Linked DNA regions of Arabidopsis thaliana. The protein of the gene in region 1 interacts with the protein of each later gene in a pairwise test. Each region holds a gene or a part of one and is shown on either strand. Other genes may lie near its edges. The genes, in order: MYB74 and AT5G48430.

What was found.
Region 2: the proteins of MYB74 (region 1) and AT5G48430 interact in a two-hybrid assay, tested with the Arabidopsis thaliana proteins (one large-scale study listed by BioGRID).

What each region holds. Positions count from the first base shown.
Region 1 is NC_003075.7:2,614,056-2,624,434, forward strand, and holds MYB74 (myb domain protein 74), read left to right. Parts: upstream 1-4,316; 5' UTR 4,317-4,501; coding exon 4,502-4,637; intron 4,638-4,729; coding exon 4,730-4,859; intron 4,860-5,026; coding exon 5,027-5,735; 3' UTR 5,736-5,892; downstream 5,893-10,379. Other genes in the region: AT4G05095 (non-LTR retrolelement reverse transcriptase), read right to left, coding at 1-159; AT4G05097 (uncharacterized protein), read left to right, coding at 1-169, 261-340, 367-508. UniProt on the Arabidopsis thaliana protein: Probable transcription factor that may function in salt stress response.
Region 2 is NC_003076.8:19,624,182-19,634,415, reverse strand, and holds AT5G48430 (Eukaryotic aspartyl protease family protein), read left to right. Parts: upstream 1-5,248; 5' UTR 5,249-5,303; coding exon 5,304-6,524; 3' UTR 6,525-6,782; downstream 6,783-10,234. Other genes in the region: sks3 (SKU5 similar 3), read left to right, coding at 1-164, 293-658, 760-838, 915-1,117, 1,191-1,285, 1,504-1,625; AT5G48440 (FAD-dependent oxidoreductase family protein), read left to right, coding at 1,828-2,086, 2,225-2,374, 2,656-2,870, 2,959-3,029, 3,274-3,439, 3,673-3,844, 3,963-4,121, 4,218-4,306 and 1 more; AT5G48420 (uncharacterized protein), read left to right, coding at 7,626-8,054.

The DNA.
Region 1 (10,379 bases):
GTCCATAAAGAGAAGCGGAGGAGTTAAGCTTGCTCTAAACATGAAGTTACCCCAAACCGCAAAACTGACACCACATCCAAAGAACAAGTGCTCTCTAAATTCAGCATTTCCAGAGCAAAGGACACAATCCGAAGGAATAGAGAGACCCCACCTCCTCATGCAGTCTCTAGTATGAAGCCGATTCTAAGCAGTAACCCAAGTAATGAATGCGTGCTTTGGAATATGGTCCTTAAACCAAACCGACTTATGCCACACAACAGGACGGCCAGAAGGGTGAAGCGCTTGCCAAGTCAGAGCAGAGGAGAAAGAGTGAGAAGGAGGTCTTTGATCGACTTCATAGGTAATGATATCATTGCAACTAGGCAGGGCGTGCTTTGATCAAGGAGATGATGGGATTACGACTTCTAGAACCCATAACCCTCCACCTATCACCAGAAATTGCGTCTCTTACCACCGCCTTTTTTGGCAGACCTATCACCTGAAGACCCAAAGGACTCGTGAGATTTAAAAGAGAACCCAAACCAGTCTAATTATCGTACCAGAAACTAGCCGTAATAGCCAAACCCACTTCACACACCAAAAAAAGTCTCGCCAGACTACGAAGCTTACTCAACCGCTTCCAAATCCAACTCCCAGAGTTGTACGGATTCAAATCCAACTACCAGAGCTAAATTCTATTTCGTTATTTTAATATCATTAACACACCTCTATTATGAAACCTCCAAGAATAGAAACCACTAAGTTTAATAATTCAAATATTCTATATAGATATAGCTACTTTACTATGTGGCACATCAACTCCACAACTATTAATTCCGATATCGTATCGCACTCGCATATGTATTGTAATTTTCTATACATAAATAAATGTTATATACATAATTACGTATGTGTGTGTGGACTCTTGGTCTTTGTCTTTCAACTATTTAGAATTCAAATGGCTCGTTTCTGACGTATCAAAATCTGGAATAATGCGACGATAATCTCTACGTACGTGACTCGATTTATTTTAACATACATACTAATCAATCATATTTTATATTAAGAAAAATTAGGCAAGTATCGTGTATATATATATATATAGTATGTGGCTACATACTATTATTGCCCACATACAGTAAAACCTCTATAAATTAATACTCGATAAATTAATAACCTCTATAAATTAATAAATTCTTCCGGTCCCGAGTTGGGACCACTATAAAAATTGATACAAATCGATAAATTAATAAGATAATAATTATTTTGAAAATTTTATGTAAATATATGGTCCCATCAATATTATAAATTAATAATTGTATAAATTTATGAATATATATATATATATATATATTTATATTTATGAATATATATTATGTAAAACTTAGTAAAATATGACTTTAGTATTGTTTTTCTTCAATTTATATTAATTCTTTGTAAAATTCAATTCTAATAATTTTACTACGTATAAAAAAGATTTTTTTTTTAAACCTAATAATGGTTTTATACTTGTAATTGATTTTTAGAAAAATTATTGATTGTAGAGAGGAACTACCTTTTGGATTAAATTTTTGTAAAAAATTACAAATTTTTTAAAATCTCTCCATAAATTAATAATTATTAATTTATCGATAAATTAATACCTCTCTAAATTAATAAATTTTTGTACTATTATTACCTAGAAAGTGAAAATTGACCTACAAATATATCTTCAATTTGATTCACATATACGAAGTCACGTATGTTTCTATAAATTTAGATCCAAAATGTGTGAAAACCCATCTGTTTTTGCAAATTCTTGCAATTGCAATTGCACATGTTTCTATTACGTTTAAATCAATCGAGCTCTAAGTGATTTATCCATAGTGATATACAGATCCAATATCCATGAAACATATTTAATTCATGAAAAGGCTCAAACATTATCAACAAATAAGATATGGTCAACTATGTAGTAACTAGTAACACGTAGGCTGCTGCTCTTTGTGGCAAATTCATGCGCAAGCAAAGCCTCTAGATGTTTGACAAGTTACTACCCTAATATAGCATCACTAGCTATCTTCTAATTTTTTTTTTTAGTTATTTTAATCCTGTATTCTTTTATTTATTTATTTGATAAAGTGATGAAATTTTATTCTCCTTTTTCTTATCAACTAATATACTTATTCATTCACATAATTTCGCACTTTGCGGAGTTTTCATTTGTCGTTAAACCCGACAGATTCTTGAACCGCAAGGAACGAGACATTAACCTAATGTACTTATATTTAACTATAGTATTATAATAGCATAAATGTGACAATGATTCGATCACTACTAATATATTAATCACCAATCTATATCGTCGTCCTTCCTGATTATTTGAAGATTTTGTCTATAAACTAGCTGCTTTTGTTTATGTATTTTTATTACTTGGATGCTTTTGTTTGTTGGAATATTCGAATGAATTTTTGTTTGCCTGAAACTATGCATATATAATAAGGCCATATGCGCCAATAATATAGAATCCAAATATTCATTAACTATAATTAGTTTGTTCTAGAGTTTTAGCTACTCATATATTCAAATTCTTAGGAGATCAAAAAAGTACTTAATTAGTTAATAAAATCCATTTTTATTAGTTGTAATTAAATGTAAAGTGTCGAAACACGAAAGGGAAGATGAGTTGCACAACTCGTGGTTCCTATAAGAGTGATAATCTATCTGACGTCACGCCATGCAAAATGTATCAATCAATTTTCTTCTCACATTTATATTTACTTCAAAATGATTATAAAGCCACCCAATGAATAATAAGATATATATATATATATATATAACTCAAAATCAAAAATTTCAAATGGAATTTGGAAGCATCACAAATTCACAATCATGTATTCAAAATCTCACGTAGAAAAAGCTAATAAGTCCAAAAGATTGGTCTTCATTTTTTTCTTGAGAAAGTTTGATGGGATAGAGAGAGAGACAGAGAGGAACAGCTAAATTTGCTGTGTATGTATTTAATACTTGAACATTTATTTATCTATTTTCTTATACATCAAACTCACGAATTTATAGGTTGGTAATGTCGTTTTTATAACATTAATAAAAATTGCAATTGTAGTTTTTATTGAAATTTACCCAAAAAAAACTATTATACGAAAATATGTTATTTATTTAAAATTTGATATTAGATGAATCCAGAATCTTTTATAAAACTTGGTGTGTGTGAACCTGCGTTAATTTGTTAAATACTTTTCACGTAAAAATCAAAATTAATTTTAAAAGTTATGTTACCAAACAGTATTCTGATAGTTTTACAAATTTTATCCATTGTATATGTTTTGTTTTTGCAAAAAAGTCCAAAGGAAAAAACAAAGCAGAAGGGTTGAATTGTGAGGAAAGAGAGAGTACGTGGCATCATAACTTTGGCGACAGCTAATGTGAAAACAGCCAAAAGCTACGGAGAGCGACACTCCTCGACGACGTCCATGTCTCTTTAGATTGTGATTGCATTGTTAATTATCATATTTATCAATTGATTAGTTAAGTCTTAAGTATCATCACACAAGTTTATACATTAATCTATACAGTGTTTAACACTACAAAACTCCCCAAAATCACGTGTTTCATATCATACGTACATTTGTCTACCGTCTTTATTAACAATATTAAAACAGAATTTATCAATTTTCTAGTTGAATAGACTATATACTATTATAGAGACTCTTATAAATTATGAAACTCCTAATCAATTAAAAATAGTTAATTTGAAACATATCACTCGAAACTAGGGTATTAGTTGGATTGACGATATTTTTCTTATTAATATCAACGAGAAGAATCAAGTGTCGTTAGCTCAATTGGTAAAAAATTTAGGCAAAGCTTAGAGATGTCTATTTGAGTGACGCTTGGAACAAAAATTACATGCTATGGTTTCAGGCCTAGAGAAATGCTTCGATCCAGAATCTCTTGATATTCAAAAAAAAAAAAAAAATCAACAAGAAGAATGTATAAATGGTTTCTATACTATCTAAGTTATGAAAAATATTTTTGGTTACCCAAATTACAAGATTTGTACCGAAGTGTCACACTAGATTCACATGCATGCATAGTTATAATTAACTTAAAACATAAATGACTTACAAAAATACTTACAAACAAAAACCAAATTAAGTTATTTAGTGGCCAGCTTTGTTACTAGAGTTTTAGCCATTATCATAATTCACAATAAGGTGTAGGAAAAAACATTAATATATAGTATGTATACATCCAAAAAAAACTTTTTGGAAAAAACAAATTTTGGGATTATAAAGGACACGTAGCCCAATCGATGAACAGAGGACGGCACCGAATCAATTTGACTTCACCTTTTTTCCCCATATGATAAGAGTCTCATCTCTTTCCTATATATATTTCGTACCTCTCTTTAAGGACCCTACGTCTCTCTCTTTCTCTCTACTCTCTGTTTCCTCATAATTCAATCACTATATTTTTTTAAAAACATTTGACTTCATCGATCGGTTAACAATTAATCAAAAAGATGGGACGATCACCATGTTGTGAGAAGAAGAATGGTCTCAAGAAAGGACCATGGACTCCTGAGGAGGATCAAAAGCTCATTGATTATATCAATATACATGGTTATGGAAATTGGAGAACTCTTCCCAAGAATGCTGGTTAGTATACGTATCTTCATTATTACATTTTAATCATACTTTTTTTATTCGTGAATTGTCTTTTTAAAGTTTTGCTTGAATCTTGACTATAGGGTTACAAAGATGTGGTAAGAGTTGTCGTCTCCGGTGGACCAACTATCTCCGACCAGATATTAAGCGTGGAAGATTCTCTTTTGAAGAAGAAGAAACCATTATTCAACTTCACAGCATCATGGGAAACAAGTGAGTTTGAACTTTTCAATAATTTTATATTTTTGCCATTACGTAGTTTATACGAAAACTACTAATCTTGTAGATTAGTCTTAGAGTCATAGCTTTGAATGATGTTACTAGTGATTTATGTTAAATCTACAATGCATCAGATTCTAACTTTGTTTGCTTTCGTATAGGTGGTCTGCGATTGCGGCTCGTTTGCCTGGAAGAACAGACAACGAGATCAAAAACTATTGGAACACTCACATCAGAAAAAGACTTCTAAAGATGGGAATCGACCCGGTTACACACACTCCACGTCTTGATCTTCTCGATATCTCCTCCATTCTCAGCTCATCTATCTACAACTCTTCGCATCATCATCATCATCATCATCAACAACATATGAACATGTCGAGGCTCATGATGAGTGATGGTAATCATCAACCATTGGTTAACCCCGAGATACTCAAACTCGCAACCTCTCTCTTTTCAAACCAAAACCACCCCAACAACACACACGAGAACAACACGGTTAACCAAACCGAAGTAAACCAATACCAAACCGGTTACAACATGCCTGGTAATGAAGAATTACAATCTTGGTTCCCTATCATGGATCAATTCACGAATTTCCAAGACCTCATGCCAATGAAGACGACGGTCCAAAATTCATTGTCATACGATGATGATTGTTCGAAGTCCAATTTTGTATTAGAACCTTATTACTCCGACTTTGCTTCAGTCTTGACCACACCTTCTTCAAGCCCGACTCCGTTAAACTCAAGTTCCTCAACTTACATCAATAGTAGCACTTGCAGCACCGAGGATGAAAAAGAGAGTTATTACAGTGATAATATCACTAATTATTCGTTTGATGTTAATGGTTTTCTCCAATTCCAATAAACAAAACGCCATTGGAATAGAGTTATGTAAACATGCAATCATTGTATTTGTTATATAGATTTTGTTACATATCCAAAATCCAAAATACTATAGTTTTAAAATATTTATTACTAAAGTATATTCGTCAAGGGGAAAGCAACATCCCACCAGTAAACAATATAAAGCTCAGCTCATAACATTGTTTTAATGATGGAGTTTCTATTATTGGTATCTATCTACTCTTTTGTTTAATATTTGTGGTCGGCTTTTCTTCTACATAAATGCATGGAGATCGTATCAACGATCATATTAAAATATGATTCGAAGATATATACTATAATTGATATCATACATGGTGCTGAAATGTTATCGAAATAGAAAGGTAGATAAATAATTGATAGTGAATAATTATATCATTGACTTATTATCTCTTGTTTCTCTGAAGAAATAAACTAATGATAATTTATGAACCAAAACAATACTAATAACAAATGTTTTGAAATGGAAGTGGGCCATTAAGTCAATCAAAAATTTGCACAATTTCACTAGAACCAATCAAAATGCACGAAAAACTTTCTATTTTGACCACCAGAGAAGTCTTACGAATTTACTAACCGGAATCCGGCGAGACTGGCCGGAGCGTGAACTAGAAGTACACGTGGTATGGTAGCGTACGTGTGCAATTGGGGTCAGATCACGGGACACAATCTAATGACCAGACGCCACTTGTACGACACGAAAGCAATAAGTGGAAAACGTAAGGAAAAAGTTGAAAGAAAAAGCTCGTTTTAATTGAAATCACGGTTTGTGTTAATTAATCACCTTTAACACGTGTTGTACGGAGAGCCAACTGAGAGTGGGGACGCGTGGGGACAAAGCAGCATGTGTAAACACGAACGTCGGCATTTTTTGGGATGAGCTGTTTGTTTTGACCCCTTGTTCGGTTTTTCCAGTGGATCTTTTATTACGTATAGAGTCAACATTTTTTATAAGAATAAATTATTGTGGTAATTAAATAAACCTTGTTTTTTTCATTAAATAAAAACTTGTTTAGTAAGAGAAATTTCATATTATTTTCTTTGGTTTTAATGCTAAGAGTCTTAACGAAATTAAACAATTACATATCTTGCCAATTTTGAATGCTTAATTTGCAACTAGAATAAATTGTATATATCTAGTTTTACTTTTTTTTTTCTTTACTTTTTTTTGGTAAAATATATAGTTTTATTTTTGAATTGACGGAAACGTAAGTGGGTTAGTTGAGTTGTTTCTTTTTTATATATACGTAATTAGATATAAACGTGCGGTATACCGTAGATACTCTTATATTTTAGTTAAACTAAAATTTTTTATTGTAAAAGTGATTTATAAATATATAATATTATTTTATGGATTTTAAATGTATAGTAAACTGCTAGTTGTATATTTTTGTTGATATTATTTATATTGTTCAGTATTTAAGATTATACACTTGTATTTAATTGTTAATTTTAGAGTTTCACCTATAATTACCATCTTGTATTAATATTGATTTAAACCCGTCAATTCTAAGATTTTCAAGCTTGTATTAAAAATTGAATCACATCATACACATAAAAAAATCTAATATGTTATTAATTATTATAGTATATAAGATTATAAATTTTCAAAATAATATGTATGAAATTGAATATAAATATTTAAATTATAACCCGTTACTTAGTAGAAAGTTTTCTAAAATCTATTTTTGACCTGTTATAATATTTTTTCATGTATTGAACAGTTTATATTCGTTTTTAAAAATATAAATCATGGCACATGCGAAAAGCTAATTATTCTTTTATAACAATAATATTATTTTTTCGCAAAAATAGAATCATATAAAGATGAGAGATGAACTATAATAATTAATAAAAAATTAATATGATAATTTAGATATCAAATCTAATTTGTTGATTTTAATTAGTTATTTTTTTTGGAAATTAATAATGTATTTCGTTTGTCTAATTAAATTAAATTAATTAAAATTTGGATATCAAATCTTATATGTTGATTTTGATTGGTTACTTTTTTAGAAATTAAAAATGTATTTTGTTTTTTAATTAAATTTAATTAATTAAATTAGTATTTGACTTTTTAATATTTAAAAAGATGAATTATTTTACTCTTTGAAATTTTATTTTTAATTGCATACCTATGTAATTACTTACAAAAAATATGGTTATTTTATTATGTATTTCCCAATAATAGTATAGGATTATGTTAGCATATATTTACAATGTTACCACATTTGATTTTATTTTTAATATCTTTTGTTAGCAATTTTTACTGAATGTTGAAACTTGTCAAATGTCACTATTCATCACGATTTTCAGTTTGAGCGAGATTTTTATCGATTTTTTTGGAAACTTTAAAACACTGTCGTCATAGTATACTTTTTTCTAAACATCAAATTTCCAGGACTATAATAAGAGACTATAATAAAAGCTTATAACAATAAATTATTAGCAAGTTTTAACAAGAAAAATTAAAATCTTTCATATGTTTTAGGCACCCTTAAAAATAATTTCCTTAATTGTTATTGGCCAACTTTTAATATTATACAGTATAACCTCTATAAATTAATACTCTATAAATTAATAACTTCTATAAATTAATAAATTTTTCCGGTCTTAAGTTGGAACCAGTGTAAAAAGTGACACAAACGATAAATTAATATGATAATAATTGTTTTGAAAGTTTTATGTAAATATATGGTCCCATCAATATCGTAAATTAATAATTGTATAAATGTATCAACTACATATATATTATATGTAAAACATAAAACATTTCCTTATAATATATTTTTAATATTTTTTTGCTTAAATTCATATTTGTTCTTTGTTTGAATATAATTATCATAGTTTACTGTATCAAAACTGTTGGTGTTGTTTGTAGACATTATTATTATATTTTCAATAATGAAAGAAATTTTATAGAAATTTTTAAAAAGTTACCAAAATTTTGAAAATCTTTTTATAAATTAATAAATATTAATTTATCGATAAATTAATACCTTTCTAAATTAATAAAATTTTGTAGTCCCAATATTATTAATTTATAGAGATTTTACTGTATATATAAACTCTAAAGTTTTAAATCTAAAGTCTAACTTCGACACCATAAATAGTTGGCTTAAACTACACCACAACTTGTTTCGTGGCAAGTCTATTACCGAAAAAAAGAACTGGCCACATTATAGGCACAAGAACATTTTTCTACATAACACAAATCCAGTTTTAACCATTAGAAAGAAAAAGAAAAACATATGAAACACAAAATAAAGCAAAAATATGATAAGAAAGTGATTATCATATTTTTCTAATAATAGACAGATTGTTTCAAAAAGAAAAATATACTTAAAAAGTAGAGAAACTAAAAACTGAGAAATAATTGACAAAAAGATTGAGAAATAAAAAGAATAAATGTAAATTTATTTATTTGATTTTTATTTTGATTTAAATTAAATGAGGTTTTTATTTGTTACATTAACTGTTTAAATTTTATAATTAAAAGGTAATTTTTCGAAAATTCACAGATTAACAAGTAAATTTAATTTAGACAATCACCTCATACCAACTTCATTTTTGTTTAGGTTGTTTTTTGTCATTTCAGTTGGTTGATCAAATATTTTCTTAATTGGCAATATTCTCTGTCAATCAAACCTACAAAGTCTCTAAGACATGTAAGTACTTTGGGCGGTGGCATATGAATCAGTTGGACTAAAAAGGCAAATCTTGTTTTACATGATCCCAAAAGTTGTTTTCATTATTCCATACAAAAAACACGTTTTGTCCTCGATATACACTTGTGTTGTGTATTTGTATGACCAAGATTTTCAATATCAGAGTTTTCTTATACATCACCGTGCCAAACTCTAATTCAAACACCAAGATTTCGTCGTTTATATACGGCTGTATTTTTCCATTTCATTTATTGTTTGTTACACTATAATATCTACGTACTAAAGATTTTATAGTAGGAATGGATCAAGTTTACTATACTAAATGACTTTGAGTAATTTATATAGATAGTTATCTTTTGAATTTCTTGTGTAGGAGAAATGTTAATGATCTTAATCGACCAAGAGACTAATCAATTTAATGTCGCCAAAACCGAAAGTAGACTTTATACAATGTTTGATAATTTAGTAATGTGGAAATAAGCTTCTATAATCACATGGGTTATATAAATGTGGTCCTAACAGTACGTCATTTATACGTCATATGAGGTATAACAATATATAATAAGTTGGATATATTAGCATAGAGGACATTTTTAAAAATGCTATTTAGCTAAGAAAAACACACTTAACTATTCCATTAAACGAATAAAACCCTTAGATCCAACATTAATCAACTGTAACCACGCTAAACTGTGTTGAGTGACTAACATTGGCTTTTAAATGACTTGGTTAATTCAGTAATATTGGATCTAGCTAAAACAGTTTGATCAACTTACATTTGAAGATATAATTAATGTATATTCGATTAACGAAGTAATTAGAGTTTTTCTTTTTCTTTTTTTTCAAATCGGATAAGGTATTATGTTTATATTGTTGTCTACTTATAGCATAATCATTAGTGTCATTAAATGATCATATAAAGTCTTCGTTTATCTTTTGTATTTAGTCAACATATGCTT
Region 2 (10,234 bases), on another chromosome or scaffold:
GACTACTACATTGTTGCCAGCCCAAGGTTTGCTACATCCATCAAAGCTAGTGGAGTCGCTGTCTTGCGCTACTCTAATTCCCAAGGACCCGCTTCAGGTCCACTCCCTGATCCTCCTATTGAGTTGGACACATTTTTCTCAATGAACCAAGCACGATCCTTAAGGTTGTTAACGACTATGTATAGTTATGTTTCATACTAGGAAATATCTTGGCTAGAATGGTACCCCTTTTCTATTTCTATTCAAAACTGCAATATTTACTTGTTGCTGATGGGAAAATGCTGTTTGGTAGGTTGAATTTGTCATCTGGAGCTGCCCGTCCAAACCCGCAGGGATCTTTCAAATATGGCCAGATTACAGTAACTGATGTGTATGTGATTGTCAACCGACCACCAGAGATGATAGAGGGACGATTGCGTGCAACTCTTAATGGTATATCATACTTACCTCCTGCAACACCCCTAAAGCTTGCTCAGCAATACAACATCTCAGGGGTATACAAGTTGGATTTCCCAAAAAGGCCAATGAATAGGCATCCCAGGGTTGATACCTCAGTCATAAACGGCACGTTCAAGGGATTCGTGGAAATCATATTTCAAAATAGTGACACCACTGTTAAGAGCTACCACTTGGATGGTTATGCATTTTTTGTTGTTGGGTAAGGTTCCATTAGTTATATTAGATCCATTTACATGACCAGACGTTGAAAGATAATGGACAATGTGATTGTAAAGTTAAAGAATGATGTTTGTCTTGAAGGATGGACTTTGGTCTGTGGACAGAAAATAGCAGAAGCACATACAACAAGGGTGATGCAGTTGCTCGATCTACTACGCAGGTTTTATGACTTAACACCTGAAACCGAAATGTTACATGTGTTTCTATGTGGTTTTAAACGGCTAATTTGTTTACAGGTGTTTCCTGGTGCATGGACGGCCGTCTTGGTTTCTTTGGACAATGCTGGCATGTGGAACCTTCGAATAGACAATCTAGCCTCATGGTATCTTGGCCAAGAACTATACTTGAGTGTGGTTAATCCAGAGATTGACATTGACTCATCTGAGAATTCCGTTCCTAAAAACTCTATATATTGTGGTCGGCTCTCACCATTACAAAAGTAAGTCTAGAAAAGGAATTAGCTTTTAGGTTGGCTTTCTCAGTCACTGACCTGTGTCTTGTTATTTTTGCAGAGATCAAGCACAGAGGGTAAACTTCTCCGGATCACAGCGATCCATCTTTGTAACAAGCAGAGGGATTCTCCTCGCTCTTTTTGCAATCTTAGTAAGTAGTTTAGCAAGATAACGATTCTGAGCTTTTCGGGCCTGATTGTAGCAAAACTGCAATGCCACTCCCATCATTTCAGAAGATCATAGTGTTGGTATAACACAGTAGAAGCTTGAAGATCACAGATGAGGTGTTTGTTGTTTATGCGTAGTGTTTAATCTACCATCAATATAATGTTATGCTGTAAGGCTTGATTTTGTAATAGAACTTGGTGAGAAGACATCAATCGTCTTTGTAATACTAAGAAGATTCTTGATTCTACTGCCAAGGCACAGACAGACCTGAGTCTTGTAGAAACGGATCGGATATCCGAAAAAAACCGGGATCGGATATCATATTAGATTCATGTCTGAGGAACTTGGATTCATGTTCCTACTTGGATGATTAACTCCATATTACAAGAAGATGATTAGTAGGTGGAAATGTGAAGAAGCACTGAGATAGTAATTGGCACATAATAAAACTGAAGTGTAATACTTTGCTAATTCTTACGTTGACTTTTGAAAGTTCAAACCTTTACGATACCAAAAACCTTCTTCTCCAATGGTTTCCATTTTCCTTCAATCACCCACCTTTTTAACACCACTGAGCTACCCATTTTCATCTCGGAGCTCCACCAAGAGAACCCAACATGGAGCTTCTCTGTCACTACGTGTCACAGCTTCTCGTAGCTCCTTCGATGTTGTTGTTGTAGGTGGTGGGATCATTGGGTTAACCATAGCCCGCCAATTCCTTACCGGGTCGGATCTATCTGTTGCTGTTGTCGATAAAGCCGTACCTTGCTCCGGCGCCACCGGTGCCGGTAATTCTCAACCCTTCTCTTACAAATTGGATCTGACGATTGACATTAGTACATTACCTATGGATTCTGCAAATAAAGCTGGACTCTTGAAGTGAATGAAGTTGACTTAACTTGAAATTTGTGGTTTTTGGATTTCAGGGCAGGGATATATATGGATGACACACAAGAAACCAGGCAGTGATGTGTGGGACTTGACCTTGAGGAGCCATGAACTCTGGCACAAGCTTGCAGAGAGCTTGACTGATGATGGTCTTGATCCTGAAGAGTTGCTTGGCTGGAAAAAGACAGGTTTTTACTGACTACCCACTTTACGTTTGTATAGAATTTGGAGCTCTTTGAGCGACTTTGTTGATCATGATCTTGTGTTGATTCTTTCTTCACTTTAGTCTATTGGGTTCTATACACTATTAGTTAGGTTCTTTTGGCAATGTCATTTTCGTCGTGTTCAACAAAAATAATAGTTCAGTGTATTGTTGTCAACGAAAATAGATGATATATACACCATTAGTTACGTTCTGTTTGTCAACGAAAATAGATGATATAGTTCAGTGTATTGTTGTCACTTGTAGGAAGCTTGCTCATTGGTAGGACCACTGAGGAATGTGTTGCTCTGAAGCAAAAGGTTCATGAGCTATCTGAAGCTGGGTTAAGAACTGAATATTTGTCTAGTGCTGAGTTGTTGTTAAAGGAGCCTGCGATACTTGTAAATGATAATACTGGTGCTGCATTTCTTCCTGATGATTCACAGTTGGACGCCCATCGTGCGGTTGCTTATATCGAGAAGGTTGCTTTTTATGTATTTATTTGATAGTTGAATGTCTCATCTGACACTTTTCTTTTGTGGTTTACTTAGTTTTATTTGAGTTACTCAGGGTAATAGAGCGTTTGCAACAGCAGGCAGATATGCCGAGTTCTATAATGAACCAGTTACAGGTTTAATAAGGTTGGTAATCTTTGTAGCTGAATCAGAACTTTTCTGAACCAAAAATTAAAAATGCATTCTCCAATCTAGGCATCGATATAACATACATATCTGTATACTAAAAACCATGGCTGTGTCCTAATTTTGTTACCTTAAATTAAGAGGCTGAAACACAAAAACAAATTCATCCAAATCTATGTAAATCTTCAGTGGACGCTACTAATCTTTCTTCTACTAGAGTTTTATTAATAGTATTTCTATTCAGGTCTGATGGGGATAGCAAGGTGGTTGCTGGCGTTAAGACTTTGAAACGCAACTTGTATGGTAAGAAGGCTACTATAGTAGCTGCTGGTTGCTGGAGTGGATCTCTGATGCATGAATTGCTTAAAGACTGCAACATTCCGCTGGACGTTCCGGTGAAGCCAAGAAAGGTTTGAAGTCTCGTCTGATTGCCCAATTTATATTCCCTCGTTTTAAATCTCTATATTGAAGTGTATCTTTGTCATCACGAGGTGTCAAAATTCTGGCAAGCCAAGTTCTTGAGGATATTATTGTTTAAGAGCAGCAAGTATATCTTTATTTGTCGTGAAGATCCTTTGCAAGCTTCTTGAAATGGACTGCTTTGGTATTTTTTTAAATTGCAGTATCCAACTTTGCCTTGCAGGGGCATCTGCTTGTGGTAGAGAACTTTGATTCATTCCACTTAAATCATGGGATAATGGAGGCTGGTTACTCGAATCATCAAAGTGCTTCAGTTTCAGGATTGGATGTCGATGAACGGATGCTATCTATTTCCATGACAGCCACAATGGACACATCAGGAAACCTTGTTCTTGGTAATTTCATCAATCTATGTCCACTAAAATCCATGTTCTTCTTATTATGTGTGCTTAACATATTTATCAGTCACACACAATATATCTCTTATCTTCATTTAGCCATCTCTAATTTCAGGGAGCAGCCGTGAGTTTGTCGGGTTCGACACTGAAGCTGATGAGTTTATCATCCGTTGCATATGGGAGCGTGCTGCAGAATTCTTTCCTAAGTTACGTGATATTTCCCTCGAAGATTTCATCCGTAACAGGAAAGTGAGAGTCGGGTTGCGCCCTTACAGTAAGCTTCTTGCATCTAATGCTCCAAACCAAAAGTACTTGAAGCCGGCCTTTGGAATGTTCACAAAACCTGAACTTTTCTTTTAACTGATCATAGTGCCTGACGGGAAGCCAGTGATAGGATCCGTGCCCGGATTACAAAACATGTACTTAGCAGCTGGGCATGAAGGAGGTGGACTTTCCATGGTAAGTAACATTCATTCTAATCCTCTAACACCTTTCTCAAGAACCCAATCATGATTCACGGTTTCTTGAAATCGTTTAGGCTCTAGCAACAGCGGAAATGGTAACGGACATGGTACTAGGAAAACCATCACAAGTGGATACTTCAACGTTTGGGGTTAAAGGGCGTCGTTGTTGCTGATGAAATAGAAGCAGTTTGGTTTAGTTAAGAGAGTGAATCCTCTTAAGCATTGTGGTTGCTATAAACGGGGTCTTAAAGGAAATGTCTATGAGCTACATAAATCTAGTGTTGGTTTAGTCCGGTTTTAGTATACTAAGACCAATTCTAATTCTACGTCTTTAAACCAGACTTTTTCTCTAGCTTTCGACATGCATGATCTATTTTTAATACGGTTGATTACAAATATGTTCCATTCAAAATATTCTCAAACAATAATTTAACCATTTATACGCATATTAGCAAAGATATGTCATTCGAATTTGACCAAAAATGCGCACATGGTTATCATATCCTAGAAAACTTTCAAATCAGTGATTATCACATTCCATATTCAAACTATTGCTATTTATTTATTTCAATATATCTATATATATAATATTAATTGTCAACAAACATATAAAACCACAAGTAGTGATGCTAGTTGAAGTTTTTTCTTTTTCTTATTAACGTATAAGTCTTTTGAGTCTATGACCATCTACATCCATCAGTAGTTTTTAAATTTATCTATCAACTTGACATACATATAGGACTGGCTTTGCCTAAATGGTTGGCCCTCCTATGTCAACTTGATATACATATAGTAATCTTTTAAAATATATATATCTAGTTGTTCTGGTCGGACCGTATTATTGTGTGTACAAGTTCGTACATATTAACGTGTGTGATGTCTATATGTTAAAATGTCAACTCTAATTAGCTATATATACGTTCTTAATTCTCCTAGTAATTATATCCATATCTTAAAACTTTCCAACAATCTTAAACACAAACACGCAAAAGATGGAAAAGAGTCTTCTTGTCCTCTGTCTCATTTTGTTTTTTACTTATAGTTACGTCTCGGCTAATTACTATCCACCTAAAGCCTTAGTATCAACCGTCTCTAAGAACACAATCTTGCCTATCTTCACCTTCACACTCAACACAAACCAAGAGTTTTTCATTCACATCGGCGGTCCCTATCTTGTCCGTAAATGCAACGATGGTCTCCCTCGTCCCATCGTCCCTTGTGGCTCCCCCGTATGTGCTCTAACTCGTAGATTCACTCCTCACCAATGCTCTCTTCCCAGCAACAAAATCATCAATGGAGTATGTGCTTGCCAAGCAACCGCTTTTGAGCCATTCCAACGTATATGTAACTCTGACCAATTCACCTATGGAGATTTATCCATCTCTTCTCTAAAACCTATATCTCCTTCGGTCACGATCAACAACGTTTATTACCTATGCATCCCCCAACCGTTCCTTGTAGACTTCCCTCCCGGTGTTTTCGGCCTTGCGGGGCTTGCACCTACGGCTCTCGCCACTTGGAACCAGCTGACTCGACCTAGACTCGGACTCGAGAAGAAGTTTGCGTTGTGTCTTCCTTCTGATGAAAACCCTTTGAAAAAAGGTGCTATTTACTTTGGTGGAGGTCCGTACAAGCTCAGAAACATTGATGCAAGATCTATGCTCTCTTACACTCGATTGATTACAAACCCTAGAAAACTCAACAACTATTTCTTGGGACTCAAGGGTATTTCCGTTAACGGGAATAGGATCTTGTTTGCCCCAAACGCTTTTGCTTTTGACCGCAACGGTGATGGAGGCGTTACTCTAAGCACCATATTCCCTTTCACTATGTTACGAAGCGACATATACAGAGTCTTTATCGAAGCATTCTCACAAGCCACATCGGGTATTCCACGTGTCAGTAGCACGACACCCTTTGAGTTTTGTCTTTCGACGACGACAAATTTCCAAGTGCCTAGGATCGATCTAGAGCTAGCTAATGGTGTGATTTGGAAATTGTCTCCCGCAAACGCGATGAAGAAGGTCAGCGATGACGTGGCTTGCTTGGCTTTTGTCAACGGAGGAGATGCGGCGGCGCAGGCGGTGATGATAGGAATACATCAGATGGAAAATACTTTGGTGGAGTTTGACGTTGGAAGATCTGCTTTTGGATTTAGTTCTTCTTTGGGTTTGGTCAGCGCTTCATGCGGCGACTTTCAAACACGGCCATGAGAATGTCAAAACAACTTGATAGTTGACATTATCTTGTGATTGAATATTTATTTGTCAGTACTCTGGCTTCATTTGTTATGTAACATTCATGTCAAGTGTGGTTTTAAAAAATTTAGTCAATGACGAATGTCAAAGAATGTAATAAAACACTAAAGTTTTATCTTATTATTAATGAACCTTAATATATAAGTTGCGTCGACAAGTCATTTCACTTTATATAATATTAAAGATGTTACATAAGTTTGATAAACCATGTCAATTATTGCTGATGATTTTTTTCTTACTTCCTTTGTTACTATTAGTGATTTATTTGGTTATTTTTCGTCAAACCATGTCATTATATTAAAGGGGTTATATAAGTTTAAACTACTATGACTACTAAACGATATGTAGTTAGTGAAGTGACTTCTTGCAGATTTAGCAAATACCTCAGCTACTTGGTTAGCTCCTTTTTCACAAAACTACAAGTGGGATGAGCTAACTCTAGTACATCTCTAATTACAGTATGTTGGTATGGCAAGATATTTTCGAAAAACCACCAGATAAAATTACCTAATTAAAAATCAAGCATCTTAATATATAAGACTCTCATTCAAAGTGCTACGTATCTAATCTTAAAACTTAAATGGCTTATAAATGGATTTTTTTCAGTGGTGAAAAATCCCAAATTATGTTCAATCCAAGGATCGTTCATTTTTGCACTTTTTAAGTTTCTAATTGAGTACAACGATATATGTCAATGTCAGTGTAATAATACAAAAAAGTTGTAAACTAAAGTCGGAATTATTTGATTTTCTTGTGTTAAACCCATAAATCCGATTCTCCAATCCAAAGCATATGAAGAACAAACACTACATGAGAAGGTTTTGCTTTCTTTAAACTACATTCCGTTATGCGATTCTACCTACAAACTACATGACGTTTTTGTTCACGTAGTACAAACAGCACGCATGTCTAACAAGAAGATACAAAACGGCCAATATCTCTTCCTTGTCTATTTTTGCATGTTGTTGAACTCGAAACTATAAATTGTAACAAACTTCTTATTCTTCCTCTGTGAGTGAAAAATCAAAAATCACAAAAGAAGCAAGAAAACAAAAAATGGCGATTCTCGACCTCGAGACTTTCAAGTCACTCACTTCCCTCACCTTCAACTTCGAGACTCTCTCCGATACTGTCACTTCCACGAAAGATTCGTCGTACTCTGTTTCATCTCCGGTTACTTCTGGTGATCGCGTCGACGGAGGTTGTATTTGCTCGAGGATGGTCTCTCTTTGTGAAGATTCACGTTATTCTGTTAAAGATGGTATCAATCGCGATGGTTATGATACTGATGAAGAAGATGACTTTGACTACTATGATGATCTCGATGATGATCATGAGCTGGTAAAGATTCAGAGGATTAGGAAAACGGGAAAGAGAACATTCTGGAAAAACGTTACGTTGAAGAAGAAGAAGTATTCGTATTCGCAGTTGAAACCTGGGTGTGTTCATGGCAAGCATGGACTCGATATCAAATTCAGGTGCTGATTTGACTTAAAGATCGTTGTAAAAAGTTGTTTCTTGGCTCATTTCAGATTTGCGTTACTTTGGATAGTTTCTGTGTTGAAATTTGGATGTCTTTTGAGGATTTGATTTAGTTGTTCATGGATTGTTTAGTTTCTGGAATCTTGTAAATCGATATTTAGAGAAGAATCAATGAAGAAGAGTTAGTTTGATAAGAGTAGTTACGTACAACCATGAAGAATATTGAAGATTGTACATGATTTCAGTTGTTCTTGTATGGTTTAGTTTCTGCAATCTTTGTAAATCGATATTTACTTTTGTATAGTATGAACGATAATCTTTAGGTGTCATATGAATTTGTGACATCTTTGCAGAAGTTAATCAATGAAGCAGCATTTACGTTTCATTAATTTACACTCCTTAGTCCATGCGAATCTTGAAGATTTTAATCCCTTTCTTCAATATACCGAAAAACATTGACGAATGTTTTAATATATGTAATATTAATTGGTTTCAAGTGGGTTTGTTTATTTAATTAAGTTTTTGGTTAGTGAGGTTTTTTCCCTAGAATATATCATCAATTGGTTTAATACATGAAGCACTCTTTCTTCTAAATTCTCAATGTAGTTCATAATAAAAACCAGTTAAACTGAAAAAAATTAACGACTTCAAATAGACAACAGGGAAAAAAAATAAAAAAACAAGAATGCGATGAATACTATACTGCATGTATACTTTCAAAAAAGGTTGATGCACCTTCCAAACATAAATGGATAATATGCCCAAAAGATTCAGGCCCATTAAAAGCCCAATTAAAATTATAGCGCCGAAGATACCGCCCGAGTCCCGACTAATGCATCTCTTATCTTTCTAAAAAGCGCCAAACCCGTGGCAATATGTCATAGTATCTGATCCGTACTTGACCCGTTCAAATACCAACGGGCTATAGGATCCGGCTTCATACCCGGAATATATGGGCCTAAATGATAGAAAGCCAAACGTCTAATTGAAGGACTTTCATCATCAATAATTCAGTATTATGTTCATCAACTGAAGGACTTCCATCATTAGTATCTTCTTTTTGTTTTTTTATCCATCATCATCAGTATCTTCTGTTCTTCTTCAACAACAATTTCAGTGAGTTATGACACATTTAGTCTTAGATACGTGCCTCTTGATTTTGGTTATAATCTTCAGATTGGGAAATTACGGGATATACGAATTGAGTAATTTTTTTGGATATATAAGTTATTCGTTCGAAAGGTCAAAATCAAATGTTCTTCAAGGCATGTTCTCACATAATCTATTCAAAGATTCATTAGATGTTTCAAGTTTAATCCTAAGCCGTTCATTAAACCTAAATCCGAAAACAATTACCGTCCTTGGTGACTGTATCACATAAATCGTACACCAGATAAGATTTATTCTTCTGCAAAGATATAAACATATCAATTCAAATAACAAACTAACTCCTAAAAAACGATTTATGTAAAACTATTTGGTATCGAAAGAATCAAAGTATAGTAAACCAATCATGTGCCCATATAGGGATCACAGAGAATAATCCCGAGGACATGATTAAAATTGGAGTACAGATCAATTTAGCAAACGAAGAAATTGCACCAAAACATGGAATTAATGGTCTTGGGACAGAGTGCGTTTGCCCAAAACAACAACAACAAAATCTAATTTCAAAAGATTGTGCCAGTAGATTAAGGGCCTGGATAATCATGATTATAATCAGATCCAGGCGAGTGATACTGCCGATTTCTATTTCGCAAGTTATGATTTTCATAAAATTGATTGGATCGTGAATATCTTGACCCAATCAAAGAAGCTGAGACTTGCTTTAAAAAAAAAAAAACTACAGACCCAAAAAAACAACAAAGGAGTACTTTACGATTCGTTTAAGCTGCAAAATTTTGAAAGAGTAGCTAATTTAGAGACATGAGAGAAAGGCGTTGTAGAAGAAGAGAAAGAAGAGAGATTATATATAAGATTGGGAGAGAATAGAGATTAGGGTTTCTCTCTTCTCCTTTCTTCTCTTTGAAAAAGCTTATGGGCTCATTAATTTTATTAGCCCAGCCCAAACTGAAAGCCCACAACTGACCGGCATTTCGGATTTCTTACTAGGTTTGATTTTGATTTTGGAACTAATGTCAATAAACCGGATATTAGATTGATTCGGTTGGAAGGGGAAAAGA